Ovis aries: one gene and its partners. The protein of the gene in region 1 purifies or fractionates together with the protein of each later gene. This does not show direct contact. Links are inferred from orthologs where the notes say so. Each region holds a gene or a part of one and is shown on either strand. Other genes may lie near its edges.

Evidence for each region.
Region 2: the proteins of OTUB1 (region 1) and UBE2E1 purify together in Homo sapiens (affinity purification with mass spectrometry; 4 studies listed by BioGRID and IntAct, with this or other methods). This does not show direct contact. The link is inferred for Ovis aries from reciprocal best matches to the Homo sapiens genes OTUB1 and UBE2E1.
Region 3: the proteins of OTUB1 (region 1) and SLC7A11 purify together in Homo sapiens (affinity purification with western blotting; 5 studies listed by BioGRID, with this or other methods). This does not show direct contact. The link is inferred for Ovis aries from reciprocal best matches to the Homo sapiens genes OTUB1 and SLC7A11.

What each region holds. Positions count from the first base shown.
Region 1 is NC_056074.1:38,773,277-38,777,343, forward strand, and holds the end of OTUB1 (ubiquitin thioesterase OTUB1), read left to right. Parts: intron 1-1,818; coding exon 1,819-1,937; intron 1,938-2,103; coding exon 2,104-2,188; intron 2,189-2,298; coding exon 2,299-2,493; intron 2,494-2,601; coding exon 2,602-2,799; 3' UTR 2,800-2,952; downstream 2,953-4,067. UniProt on the Homo sapiens protein: Hydrolase that can specifically remove 'Lys-48'-linked conjugated ubiquitin from proteins and plays an important regulatory role at the level of protein turnover by preventing degradation.
Region 2 is NC_056079.1:41,402,741-41,406,733, forward strand, and holds the end of UBE2E1 (ubiquitin-conjugating enzyme E2 E1), read right to left. Parts: intron 3,123-3,993; coding exon 2,975-3,122; intron 2,035-2,974; coding exon 1,937-2,034; 3' UTR 1,244-1,936; downstream 1-1,243. UniProt on the Homo sapiens protein: Accepts ubiquitin from the E1 complex and catalyzes its covalent attachment to other proteins. Catalyzes the covalent attachment of ISG15 to other proteins. Mediates the selective degradation of short-lived and abnormal proteins.
Region 3 is NC_056070.1:19,470,815-19,475,835, forward strand, and holds the start of SLC7A11 (cystine/glutamate transporter), read left to right. Parts: upstream 1-1,322; 5' UTR 1,323-1,622; coding exon 1,623-1,899; intron 1,900-5,021. UniProt on the Homo sapiens protein: Heterodimer with SLC3A2, that functions as an antiporter by mediating the exchange of extracellular anionic L-cystine and intracellular L-glutamate across the cellular plasma membrane.

The DNA of each region.
Region 1 (4,067 bases):
CGGTGTGGCGGGAGCAGAGTGGATGGGAGACGCTGGGCTTGGAGCCGAGAAGGGATTCGGAGGGAGCCGCGTTTACTGGGTTTCTGTGGTTGCTGGTGCCATGGTGGGGAGAGACTGGGCAGTGAGTGAGGTGCGGGCAGGGAGACTGTGTGGAAGCCTTTGCGATGAAACCGGCTCTAGATGGAGCTGGACGGGGCAGCGGCACAGCCCACGTGAGGAGAGACGGACGCAGGCAGAGTGGCAGGGTCTGCCCTGGGTGGCTGGGGGCATTGAGGGCGGAGTCCGCACGGCTGGGAGGGTTGCAGCTGAAAGGTGGGGAGCTGAGGAAAGGCAGGAAAGGCCAGAGGTCAGAAGCCGCCTGTTGGCTGGGCAGTTCAGAGGTGGTGCAGCCCAGGCAGTTGAGTGGAGGGGGAAGACGTGGGTGGATGAAGAATTACGTTTAAATCCCAGGAGGTCAGGAGACAGCTGACGCCGGGCTGCCCCAGGCCTGAACAGCTTGTGCTGCTCACGCAGCAGGGGCTGTGGATGGTCCCTGGCGAGACTGTCTTCTGGCAGGGGACACATGGGTCTTAAAGGAGGGGTGTGTGGTTGGGTGGCAGCTGTGACCACTACAGGTAGGTGAGGAGGGGCAGCGGTGAGGGCATGGAGAGGGTGGGGGAGGAGCGAAGAAGGGGGTTTGCGTCACCACACCTGCGGTGCAGGGGGACGCTGCTCGGCAACGGTCTAGCGGGAGTGGGTTTGACCCTTGGACTTAGGAGGGCATCTGTGACCTTCACTAGAGAAGAAGCCGGCTGGGCTTGCGTTCCCAGCAGAAAAGAAATGGAGACAGTGGCACAGGCAGCTTCAGGAGCAGTGCTGCCCTGCGGGAGAGCAGAGAGGTGGGGAGGTGGCTGCGAGGGAATTCATGGGGAGCAGAGCATTTGTTTATAGGCGGTGGGGCCAGTGGGTCTGGAGAGAGAAGCTGATGCTGGGGAGCCGGGGGGGCAGACTTCAGGAACAGTGTCCTGAGTCCAAGGCAACATGGCTCTGGGAGCAGCCTCGGACCTTCCAGGGATGGAGAGTGAGGCCCCGGGGGGGTAGGGTGCCGTGGGGATGACAGCTTCTTAGTGGAAGTCCTCAGGAAGCACGGTCATCGGGAAGATGACTGGCTGGGGGCTTAACATATGGGGAGAAGGCATGAAATAGGCGTCAGGAGGAAGGGGAGGGTGCTCAGGCCCGGGGAGTGAGGCCAGGTTGCCGGACAGCACCAAGGGCCAGCCCCCGACTCCTGAGGGGAGATTGAACAGACAGGAGGAACTCCATTGAGCTGGGGAGGAAACTGGGAAAGAGTGAACCAGTACCCGTGAGCGGGCAGGGCAGGGATTAGATGGAGGTGAGGGGGGCTGTTTCCCACCCCAGGACTGTGCAGTGCAGTGGGGGCCCCCAGCGCGGCGCTGCGCCATGTACACTCACTTGTTTGCCCTGGATCTCTCAAGAGTTTGAAAGGCTATTCACTGGAAAAGCTGCTTCCGTCAAGGACCCATTCAGTTGCCTGGTTTTATGAAACAACAGCCCTTTAGGCCCAGCAGCATGGCATGCCTAGCGGCTGATGACCACTTTGGTTGGTGACCGATGCAACCAGTGTGTCTATAATTCATGTTCCTGAGGCTCTGGGGCTCCCAGCAGCGGGTTGCCAAATGACCCCCGTTATCAGAGTCAGCAGCCAAGGATGGCAGGAGGCTGTTGTGGTGACCTCTGTTGGGGGCATTTCCTGGGCCTGCCCTGGTTTCCGCCTGATGTTGATGGGCACGTGGTGGGGTGGGGGCTGCCTCTCCGCAGGACCTCCACAAAAAGTACTCATACATCCGCAAGACCAGGCCTGATGGAAACTGCTTCTATCGTGCTTTCGGATTCTCCCACTTGGAGGCGTTGCTGGACGACAGCAAGGAATTGCAGCGGTGAGGAGGCGCGGGGGAGGTTCCGTGAAGGGCGCGTGGGCTCCCTCCTCCCTGTTGGTGGCTGGGAGGTGCGGTTCCCCTTGAGGCCCAGTGATGGCCTGGGCCCTGCTGGGCCGGGTCTGCCGGCCTAGGAGCCCGTGGCGCCCTCTCCCCCACCCGTCCACAGGTTCAAGGCTGTGTCTGCCAAGAGCAAAGAGGACCTGGTGTCCCAGGGCTTCACTGAGTTCACAATTGAGGATTTCCACAACACGGTGAGGCCAGCTGCCCTGCCGCGGGGTCGGCCAGGGTGGCAGGTGGTGGCCTGGCAGTGGCAGGGATGACCTGTCTCCCCTGTCTCGCCCTGTGTCCCCCTCGGGTGCAGTTCATGGACCTGATCGAGCAGGTGGAGAAGCGGACCCCCGTGGCCGACCTGCTGGCCTCTTTCAACGACCAGAGCACCTCGGACTACCTGGTGGTCTACCTGCGGCTGCTCACCTCGGGCTACCTGCAGCGCGAGAGCAAGTTTTTCGAGCACTTCATCGAGGGCGGGCGGACCGTCAAGGAGTTCTGCCAGCAGGTGCTGCCCCTCCCCGCTCCTCAGCCGTGGGCCCCTTTTCCCTCGAGCCCCGGGGAGGGCCCAGGTGGTGGGGCCCCCGAGCGCCCCCTGAGCCGCGCTGTGCCGCAGGAGGTGGAGCCCATGTGCAAGGAGAGCGACCACATCCACATCATCGCGCTGGCCCAGGCGCTCAGCGTCTCCATCCAGGTGGAGTACATGGACCGCGGCGAGGGCGGCACCACCAACCCCCACGTCTTCCCCGAGGGCTCTGAGCCCAAGGTCTACCTGCTCTACCGGCCCGGACACTACGACATTCTCTACAAATAGGGCTGCCGGCCGCTGCCACACCGCCCGCCCCTCCGCCAGGCGCTAGACGTGTACAGAGGTTTTCTTGTGGTTGTAAATGGTCATACTTCACTCCCCCACCCCTTCCCTGTCACACGACCCCCCGTGTTTTATTAAAGGGGACGCTGGTGGTGAGCCGCGTGTGTGCGTGTCCCTGCTCGGCTGCTGCCCACCTGGCTGCTCTGTGTCTGGCTGCCCCCCTTCCCCTCAGGTGGGTTCCTCTCGGCCTTTCACCTGTCCACCCCCAAACCTCCCCGCCAGGAGAAGTTTTGAGGGGTCTGGGCCTCTCAGGGACCCTTCCTGGTTATGGGGGTTCTGCTTCCTTTCCTTCAGGCCGCCATCCCTTCCCTGTTTAGCTGGCCAGGGCTTTCCCTGGGGACCCAGGAGCACAGAAGCTTCTAGCTGCTCCCTCCTGGGCCCTGCCCCCACCCTGCTGTCCTGGCCGGAGCCCCCTCCCCCTGCCTTCGGTCAGGGCTCTGCGTGGTGGAGTCCTGGGTGGAGAGGGACCACGTGGTGCTGCAGCCTGGCTCAGGGCAGGCGGAGGTGCGGGGGGGCCCCAGGGCGCCCCAGCCAGTGCCAGCCAGGCGGGGGAGGGGCAGTCCCCCAGCCTGTGCGTGGTCCCGTCCCCAGGCCCAGCCTCCGGTGGAGCGGGGCGCTCCAGGCCCCCGTCCTCCCGCTCTGCTCCCCTCGGCCCCCTGCCTGTGCCTGCTTTGCACCCCACTGCTGCACTACCTTCCTTCCTGCCTTCACCCCGTTTCTCACCCCCGCCCCCTCCCCGGCACATGTCGGGTCTCAGCCCCCAGGCTGTGAGCTTCTTGGGGGCAGGCCCTCAATAAACGTGACGCGCTGCTGCCCACCTCTGCTGTCAACCTCGTGCCTCCCCCTGCCTGGTTCACCGAGAGCTCTCGCCAGCCCCTGATGCCAAAGCGGCTGTCCGCACCTGGGCTCCCTCCCTCACCCCCAGCAGAGCTGGGACAGTCGGAGCTGCAGCAGTAGTCTTTATTAGGCTCCTGACGGGGCAGGGGGTGTAGGGAAAGAATAGGGTGGCCCCGCCAGGCCCCACTGCAGGCTTCGGAGACTTAGAGCTGGGAGCGTGGTCCGGCAGGCCCAGGGGAGTCTGCAGGCAAAGACGAGAGGTCAGAGCAGTGGCCCATGGGCTGCCCCGGCCTCCCAGGCTGCCTCCCTGGCTTCCTTCCCTGCGTGGGGGTGAGCAGGTGTTAGTGGGCATGAGGTTAGTGGGCAGCCACACA
Region 2 (3,993 bases), on another chromosome or scaffold:
GAAATATCAATAACCTCAGATATGCAGATGACACCACCCTTATGGCAGAAAGTGAAGAGGAACTAAAAAGCCTCTTGATGAAAGTGAAAGAGGAGAATGAAAAGTTGGCCTAAAGCTCAACATTCAGAAAACGGAGATCATGGCATCTGGTCCCATCACTTCATGGGAAATAGATGGGGAAACAGTGGAAACAGTGTCAGACTTTATTTTTCTGGTCTCCAAAATCACTGCAGATGGTGACTGCAGCCATCAAATTAAAAGACGCTTACTCCTTGGAAGAAAAGTTATGACCAACCTAGATAGCATATTCAAAAGCAGAGACATTACTTTGCCGACTAAGGTCCATCTAGTCAAGGCTATGGTTTTCCCAGTGGTCATGTATGGATGTGAGAGTTGGACTGTGAAGAAGGCTGAGCGCCGAAGAATTGATGCTTTTGAACTGTGGTGTTGGAGAAGACTCTTGAGAGTCCCTTGGACTGCAAGGAGATCCAACCAGTCCATTCTGAAGGAGATCAGCCCTGGGATTTCTTTGGAAGGAATGATGCTGAAGGTGAAACTCCAGTACTTTGGCCACCTCACGCGAAGAGTTGACTCATTGGAAAAGACTCTGATGCTGGGAGGGATTTGGGGGCAGGAGGAGAAGGGGATGACAGAGGATGAGATGGCTGGATGGCATCACGGACTCGATGGACATGAGTCTGAGTGAACTCCATGAGTTGGTGATGGGCAGGGAGGCCTGGCGTGCTGTGATTCATGGGGTCGCAAAGAGTCGGACACGACTGAGTGAACTGAACTGAACATCATTTTGTTAGCAAGTAATAAGTCATTAGCAAACAAAAAAGTAAATTGAGACATGCACATTAGAATGACGTATATAACACAACCACATTTAAGAATGTATCCAGTATCAAATGGCAGAGAACACTGCAAAACCACAGTTATTTCTGCACCAATCGAATTCTACCACCGCATCTACAAATTAGAGAATTCTTTTAAAAGATGGAGCAGAACTCTTATCTTTGGAAGAAAATGACTTAGATTATCTAACCTTTTCTAAGGCACCTCAGTATTTATCCTGCAAGGCTGTTGGATAAATTAAGAGTAACATACCAAGCCCAGTTGGTGCTGGGTAAATGAAACCAAGGTGTTCAGTCTGCATTACCTGTAATTGTTTTAATAGTAAAGATCTAGCAAGAAGAAAAACTACCAAAAAAGGCAAAAGAAAGTCGTGAATGCAGCAGTGTTGGTGGTTGTTTTAATATTGTTTATTAGCACAGTAACAAATGCAGACTTCAGTAGTCCACAACATAGAACCAATCCACTGAGCAACCCTACTCCACGCCGGACAGCTAACAGCTTAAGGTATTTTACTACAGGTTTTCAGAAGTCCTGATTCAAACCTCTCTCTCTCCACAATAAAGTAGATTGGCATATAAAATAAAATACATAACTACTCATTTTCTATATTGGTGTCTTATAGCCACGTGTCCATTTTATATATGAGATGACAGTCTCTAAAAGCTGTTAAATATCAATGTTCCCTTTCAAGCAGGGAAAACAATTTCCAATTTTTCAAGACAAAAAAGTGTGTAGTCTTGGAAGGACTTTACATAAATGTCCATGTGTAACCTGTACGAAATTAAGCTGTTTTAAATTTACAGTCTACAAGCGACTGTACCCAAATGCCTAGTCCTCTCTGTGCTGCACCTCAGCTAACACTGCAGAGCTAATGGCAGGTTTAGAAGTTGCTATTACCAATTCTGTCTACCGCAGCAAGATACCTTAAGTGACAACAAAATCTTAGGAAATAAGACTGAATAATATCTGTTATAGAAATACCCTACTCTTTACCAACTCCCACCCTCCCCCACCCCTTCAAAATCATAAGCAGCTCTCTCTGTGACAGACAATGCTGTGAAGGACTGTGGAGCCCAGTTTACGTGGCGTATCTCTTGGTCCACTGTCTGGCCATCCTGTCGTGCTCTGCCCTGTTGGTCATATACTGAGTGGCGATACTTCCCACCAAGGGGTCGGCTGGAAGAGAAGACCGCATGTTACTCTGAGGGAAGGAAAGGACGTTTCCGTCTTAGCCAGTAGGTCAGTGGCAGCCTGGGAGAATGTGGACAGGTGGCTGTCATCAAGCCCCTCCACCATTCCGGATGCCTCTCCTTCCAGACTCGCCCCTCCCCCCACTGCAGGGTTCGCCCCTCCATGGCAGGGTTCAGCAGGGTCCGGGAGGCTCGAGGCCCCGACCACCGTCAACACCCAGCTCCGTGCACAGGACCACCCTGTGCTCAGTGGCGCCCAGTCTTGACACTGAGCACAGCGAGGCCCTCGAGGCTCCTGCAGCATCAAACCATTGGCCTCTCCACTATACCCAGAAACGGCCAGAGCTGCCAGGTGGAAACCTGCACTTTCAGTTAAGCAATGCTTCTCTGAAACCTAAACAGAATCTTTAGTAATTCAATTTGTATTTGGCTTATCTAGAAAAAAATTTAGTAACAGGAAATGAAGGTTCAGAAAGCACCACAGTCTGGCCATCACTAAGTATACAGCAGGGAGCCACTGTTCGGTTAGGGGCAGCTGCACAGTGGGCCTGCAGGCAGTGGGCAGGTCAGAGGCAGACACAAGCGTGTCGTTTCAGGAGAACTGTGCGGGAAATATGCGAAGGCGGAACAGAAACACATGAAGGCGGGAATATGACTAAAGATGTGAACCCACGGCAATCTGACGGGAACTCTGCAGATTAAAACTCCTTATTCCCAGAGCACATCAGCTAATGGTGAGTCGGCTGTGTTTCTCAACTAGTAGACAACTGTTGACTAGAAATTCCTCTGAAAAACGATACGTTTTTCTCCTTTGAAAGCGTGTACAAAAATAAAATCTGACCTTTAGAAAATCTTAGTTTAAATGGAAAAAACCACTATTTCCCAGGTGAGGAGGAATAAACCAAGGTAAACAGCCATAAGCTTACCAGGATTACAGTCTGTGAGAAGTGAGCAGATAGAAAGAAGGACTTTAGAAATGGTTAGTGCTGGGCTCCAATTATCTTTCAAAATGTCCAAGCAAATAACTCCTTGACTGTTAATATTACAGTGATAGATTCTTGTCCGAAATGTAACCTAAAAAATAAGGTAGTGTTAAATGAAATTTAAACAGCAAACAATGAAACTTTTTACTATAAAACCTTTTCAATTAAATGGCTCTAATTAAACCTTTTAAAGAAATAGATATTGGTTAAAAAAAAAAAAAAGTAACAGCTTAACTTAACAAAGCCAGTAAGTGTTAAGAGACTAATAAAATTGAGATTAGAAAGTATTCACGGATGCAATCTCAGGCATTTTCAATCTCATTTAAAAAGTAATCACCAACAAAAAGCAAGGTAACTTCAATTTTTCCTTTTTTTCCTCTTGAACTATAGTTGATTTACAATTTGTGTTAATTTCTGCTTTTCAGCAGTGACTCAATTTTACACACACACACACAAACATATAAACAGTCTTTTTAAAAAAATATTCTTTTCCATTATGTTTTACCCCAGGAAGCTGGATATAGTTCCCTGTATGTTTCTTGAATTCATCTTTAGCAGTTTTAATGTAAATATTTTTGGATAACTACTCGTTTGCTGACCTCTTGTGTTAGCTGGTAGAACTACATGGTCTCAAAGCAAACTTCAGCACCTAATTCAAACGTCGTAGTGGGTATATGAGAGAAGGCAATGGCACCCCACTCCAGTACTCTTGCCTGGAAAATCCCATGGACGGAGGAGCCTGGTGGGCTATAGTCCCTGGGGTCGCGACTGAGCGACTTCACTTTCACTTTTCACTTTCATGCATTGGAGAAGGAAACAGCAACCCACTCCAGTGTTCTTGCCTGGAGAATCCCAGGGACAGGGGAGCCTGGTGGGCTGCCCTCTATGGGGTCGCACAGAGTCGGACACGACAGAGGCGACTTAGCAGCAGCAGCAGTGGGTACATGAAGACAAGCTGCTTA
Region 3 (5,021 bases), on another chromosome or scaffold:
CTCAGGTGCCAGCAAAACAGAAAATGGTCTGATCTCTACTTTTAAGTGGCTGCTTCTTTCTTGTGTCATCCTGGCTCACCTCCTCATCCCCATTGCCACCTCTCACACACACGTTTGCTGTCTGTTGTTTTTGCTCAGATGTTCAGAAACATATTTAATAGTGTTTGTAAATGTAGATTCAGAGTAATGATAACTAATTCTTCTCACTAAAATCCACAACCACCTATGACCACAGCCAAAAGTGGTAGCTGAGATTTCTTTTGGTATTTGTTTTATGAACACTTGATTAAGAAAGATAATAGGGTTTAAACATGTTTGCCTTTCTAACAATTTCAAACTAAGCATTTTCATTTTAGCTTATATTACTAACATATTTAAAATTTATAATTATAATGTAACAATAGTCTGTATACTTTAGACAAAAATCCTACATAATGTGAATACTTTCTCAGCTTTTATTCTGTGTATCTGTTTTCAAGCTTTTGTTATATGCATATTTTTATATCATTGTAAATGTTGGTTAATTTTGAAATTAGATATTTTTCATAATTTGTTGGAATAACATGCAAATGAAGGGTATATCTTTTTATGAATACTTAGTTTAGGAGGTCACCTAGCACTAATAAGAATCAAAAAATGACTATTTTCTGGAGTCACTAATTTTTGAAGTAGTCATACTAAGGTGGCAATTTTAAGTACTGGTGTATTATTGGTAGTAAGAAATAGTTTTTATCTTTAATGTTAAGTAAAGCTCACAGTTGTTTTGTGCATGACAGCAGCTATACAGAATCCTTCTAGGTCTGTAAATATTAGATTTGACTGTGTTGCTAGGAAACCCAAAATAAAAAGAAATTTAAGTAAGCAGGAAGCATTATGAAAACTAAATTTTGTTTTTATAAACAGTGCAGCTTTGGGTTATGCTCTGTGATTAAAAGGTTGGTGTAAACTATTTCATATGTACATTAAAGAAAAAAGAAACTTCTTACAACGTAGTGATCGTTTCCTGTTTCATTTTTAATTTTCTTCTCGTGTAAAGAGCTTTCACTAGGAGTTGCTTGAAATCTCTGGGAAGGTCTGTTCTGAATTTACTACTTCTGGATTGGTTAAAATCCCTTTTAAGTGTGTGCTTTGTTCTTTGAAAGCTTTGGTCAGTTGAGCAACTTGCTGCTCGTGGTTTTTTTTTTTTAAAAAAAAAGAGCTGAGTAATGCTGGAGCTTTCTCATGTGGCTGATGCAAACCTGGAGAATTTGCATCATCATCTAGCTGGAGTAAGTTGGTGTGACAGGCAGGCGCTTAAATACCAGCCCATGAGGAAGCTGATCTGGTCTGTAGTGATAGGGCGGCAGCAGCAGCCGCAGCAGCAGAGGTAGTCGGGGAGGTGAACGAACCAGAGCACCATGAACGAACACACAGGTGTTTCTGAGGTGTAATTAGATCGCGGAAGGTGAAAAGACACCTTAGCTCTTTTACCTGCGAGCACAATATCACTGAGGACGAATCTGAAAGCAAAAAGGAAAGAGATCAGATCGGTCAGTCACCCCAAGAGACACCACAGTTGAAAGTTTGGAATTAAAAGCAATTTTTTTTTTCCATTTCCTTTTACCCCACTGCGGGTCACTACCATGGTTAGAAAGCCTGTGGTGTCCACCATCTCCAATGGGGCTTACCTGCAGGGCAGTGTTAATGGGAGGCTGCCTGCCCCGGGCGGCAAGGAGCCACCTGGGCAGGAGAAAGTTGTGCTGAAGAAGAAAATCACTCTGTTGAGAGGAATCTCCATCATCATTGGCACCATCATCGGAGCAGGAATCTTCATCTCTCCTAAGGGCGTGCTCCAGAACACAGGCAGCGTGGGCTTGTCCCTGGTGGTCTGGTCGGTCTGTGGGGTTCTGTCACTGTTTGGTGAGTGTTCCTGCTTCTCTGGGGGTGTGTCTGTGGGGTTGAGCACTGTGCTGTCTGGGAGAGCAGAGGGAGATTTCAAAGGAGTGAATGAATGGCAAAGGCTACCCCAGATTTTCTGATTTTTAGGGGAGGTATGCAAACTATCTAAGCACACTGTCCACTGTTGGCAGAATGCTGAGTTCCCTGAAATTGCATCCTAAGTCTATGCTCTCTTTTCCTGACCAAGGCGCTCTGTGTTCTGACTTTTCGCTTTGGCATTGAATGTTGATGCTAACTTTGATGACCCAGTAAAATACAGGTGAACTTTCTGTACCCGGCACTTGTGCTCAGTGAAGGTATGTTTGGGGTGTCTTGGCAGCTGGCAAGCTGAATGAAACACCTGTGAAGTGAAACCCAGTGTGGCCTGTTTAGACACAGAACTGAGTGCTCAGCAGAAGTTTTACTGACTTTTTATTGGCAAAACAAATGGATGGCAGTCTTTTCCCTTTTAATTTTTTTAACTTCATGAGCTTGTCAGTTCCTAGTCTTCTTTCAAAAGTCCTTGAACGTGGATCGAAGTGTGATGGCACATAATTCAGCTCCTTTTGTAACGGATTATTGCAAGGGTGTGAGCATTTTTCACATTTTTTTGTACTTTTCATCTCTCCCCAGTACCCATAACTGTTTGCAATAGAAATTGTAGAATTGGAATTGGGTATTATTGCTGTTTGCCCAGCTCTGTTTTCTTCGTTTACAGTTCACTTGGTCTTTGGAGACACAGGTTATTGGTCCACCTATCTGCAGAGTTAGTCTCAAGAGAATTGGTAAAACTGGTGGAAGAAATGTGATTATTAACTTTTTTTCAAAACCTAGATCTCTTTTATTGACGTGATAATTAATAATAAAGAGGTAATAAATGTCCCCTCATGAGGTGGGCATATGACTGGAATGCTTCTTGGGTTAGCTGTAAAGGTGTTAAAAACTGGTGAATGGTCAAGAAAATTAAATTGTATTTATACTATGGGGCAAATGTCTAAGATATATTTGCTCTTCTCTGGCAGATAGTGCTTTTTTATTCCAAAAGATACTGCTCTTTAAAGGTTTTAACTCTTTGTCCTAACTCTCTAGGACCAAGTACTACTAACTCTTGGTCCTACATGGACTAACCTGTTTATTCTGAAGGTCTTGGCAATGTTTTCATGCATTGGTTTGAACATTTATCTAGAGAACTCAAATTTTCATGATTAGGAAGAAAGTATTTTAAACAAAACTTGTTGAAATAAAAACTTAATATAGAAATATCAACAGAGGAATTATATTTAGGTGTTTACAAAGGGTTTATGGTATTCATATTTTGTGGCATATACATTTATAGACAAAGAGAAACCTAATTATTGATCTTCTTAAATGATTTTGTGTGCCCTCAGCCTTTAATCTTCTCCAACACTTGGTATATTCAGAATAAATCATTGTCTAATAGGAGAAACCATAGCCAGGTTCCTGGATTTTGTATCCTGTGTGCATGCAGCTCCCACTATGTGATTCCATTTTTGTATACTATAAAAGGCTCTTCAGATATGATAAAATGGGTGGCTCTGAGCATTAACTAGTTAAAGTGATGTTGACTTGTACTAAGAAAATATGCTTCTGCATAAGTGTGTCATCTCAAGTGATTAAAAATAAACTAATGAGACTAGCTAAGTTTACACTTGAGTTGGTATTCTTTGATTACTAATCACAGGGAATATGCTTCTATACTAATCTATTTATCGATGTTTGCATTACATTGGTCACTTGAGCTCCTAGGAACTTTTGACAGGAGTGCCTTCCTAACAGAAAGCAAAGCAAAATATAAGGGAAAAAATTCGTTGTCTTAAAACTCTGGAACTAAGAGTATAGAATGTGTATATTGTGTTTACAATTTTGTTTAAAGCCAGGTTTAATACATGGGTTCTTACATCCTATTTTGAACTGTTTTCATCTGACTAATATGGTTATGGAGCTTGAGACCTTCAAATGAAAATTTCACTTTCCCAGAACTCAATTTAAACCTGGGGCAACCATCCTGGAATTTAACCAAAGAATACACAAGTCTAGGTATTGAGTCTCTGGAGATAAATTCTGAGGTTCTTAAGACATTTTCCAATAACATTTAATATTGGATGATTTTTTGTACACTCTACCAACATGGCAACTGGTTTCCAATAGAGAATGAACTGCAGGTAGTTATAGTTAGTTTTAAATGGCCAAACTGTATCGGTGATTCCCAACTATCCATCTGTAGACTAAGTTACTTTAGAATTAGCTGTGCTAATTTTAAAATTATAGATTTTCTTTGATGCCTCTGTCAAAGAGTCTGGCTTCTCTTGATCAAAGAGGAGGTCTGGGGGATGGCCTTAGTGCTTGTATTTTTTATTTTAATTAAAAAATTATTCCCAGGTGATTCTGATAGAGTTCTAGTTTGGAAATAGGATAAGCAACATTAAGATTTTGCTGAATATCCAAATTACGTTTATGTTGGACAGTTCTACCTGAAGCTCTATTGATTAGTAATAATTTCTCACGCTTTTAGTCTCCAGAGTAGCTCAGGCAGAAATTATGTCTTACATTTGAGTACTTAACAGTATGGGTAGAACTTTTCACACAATGTCAAGATATACTTTTCATTATATATACAATAACTTGCTCACAGTAGTAGGTGAAGCTGTATTTCATGAGGTGCTTTCTGTGTGTCAGGCCTGTTACTGTCCTTGGCATTCATTTTCATACTTATACACACAATCCCCTTATGAGGTGAGAATTAAAATCTTTATTTCTCAGAGGATGAAACTGAGGTTTGGAGAGATTACATAATCTGCTCAAGTCTTTGTGAATTTTATTGCTAAATGTTAAAAATTGGTTCATAATTAATTTTATCTCCATGTTCATAAATATGTTAAAGCATCTCTTTTTCAAAACTTTTATTTCAGTCACCCAGGAATGATACTCTGAAATACATCCATAAGAAACTTTCTCAAAAAGAGAATATCTGAGTCAAATTAATTTTGTTGATAAACAAAACATACCCTATAAATTAAATGAAGCCTTCCAAAACCTTGAGTCCATACTTTTGAGGAGAAGAGAGGAATTTTATTTATTTTGAT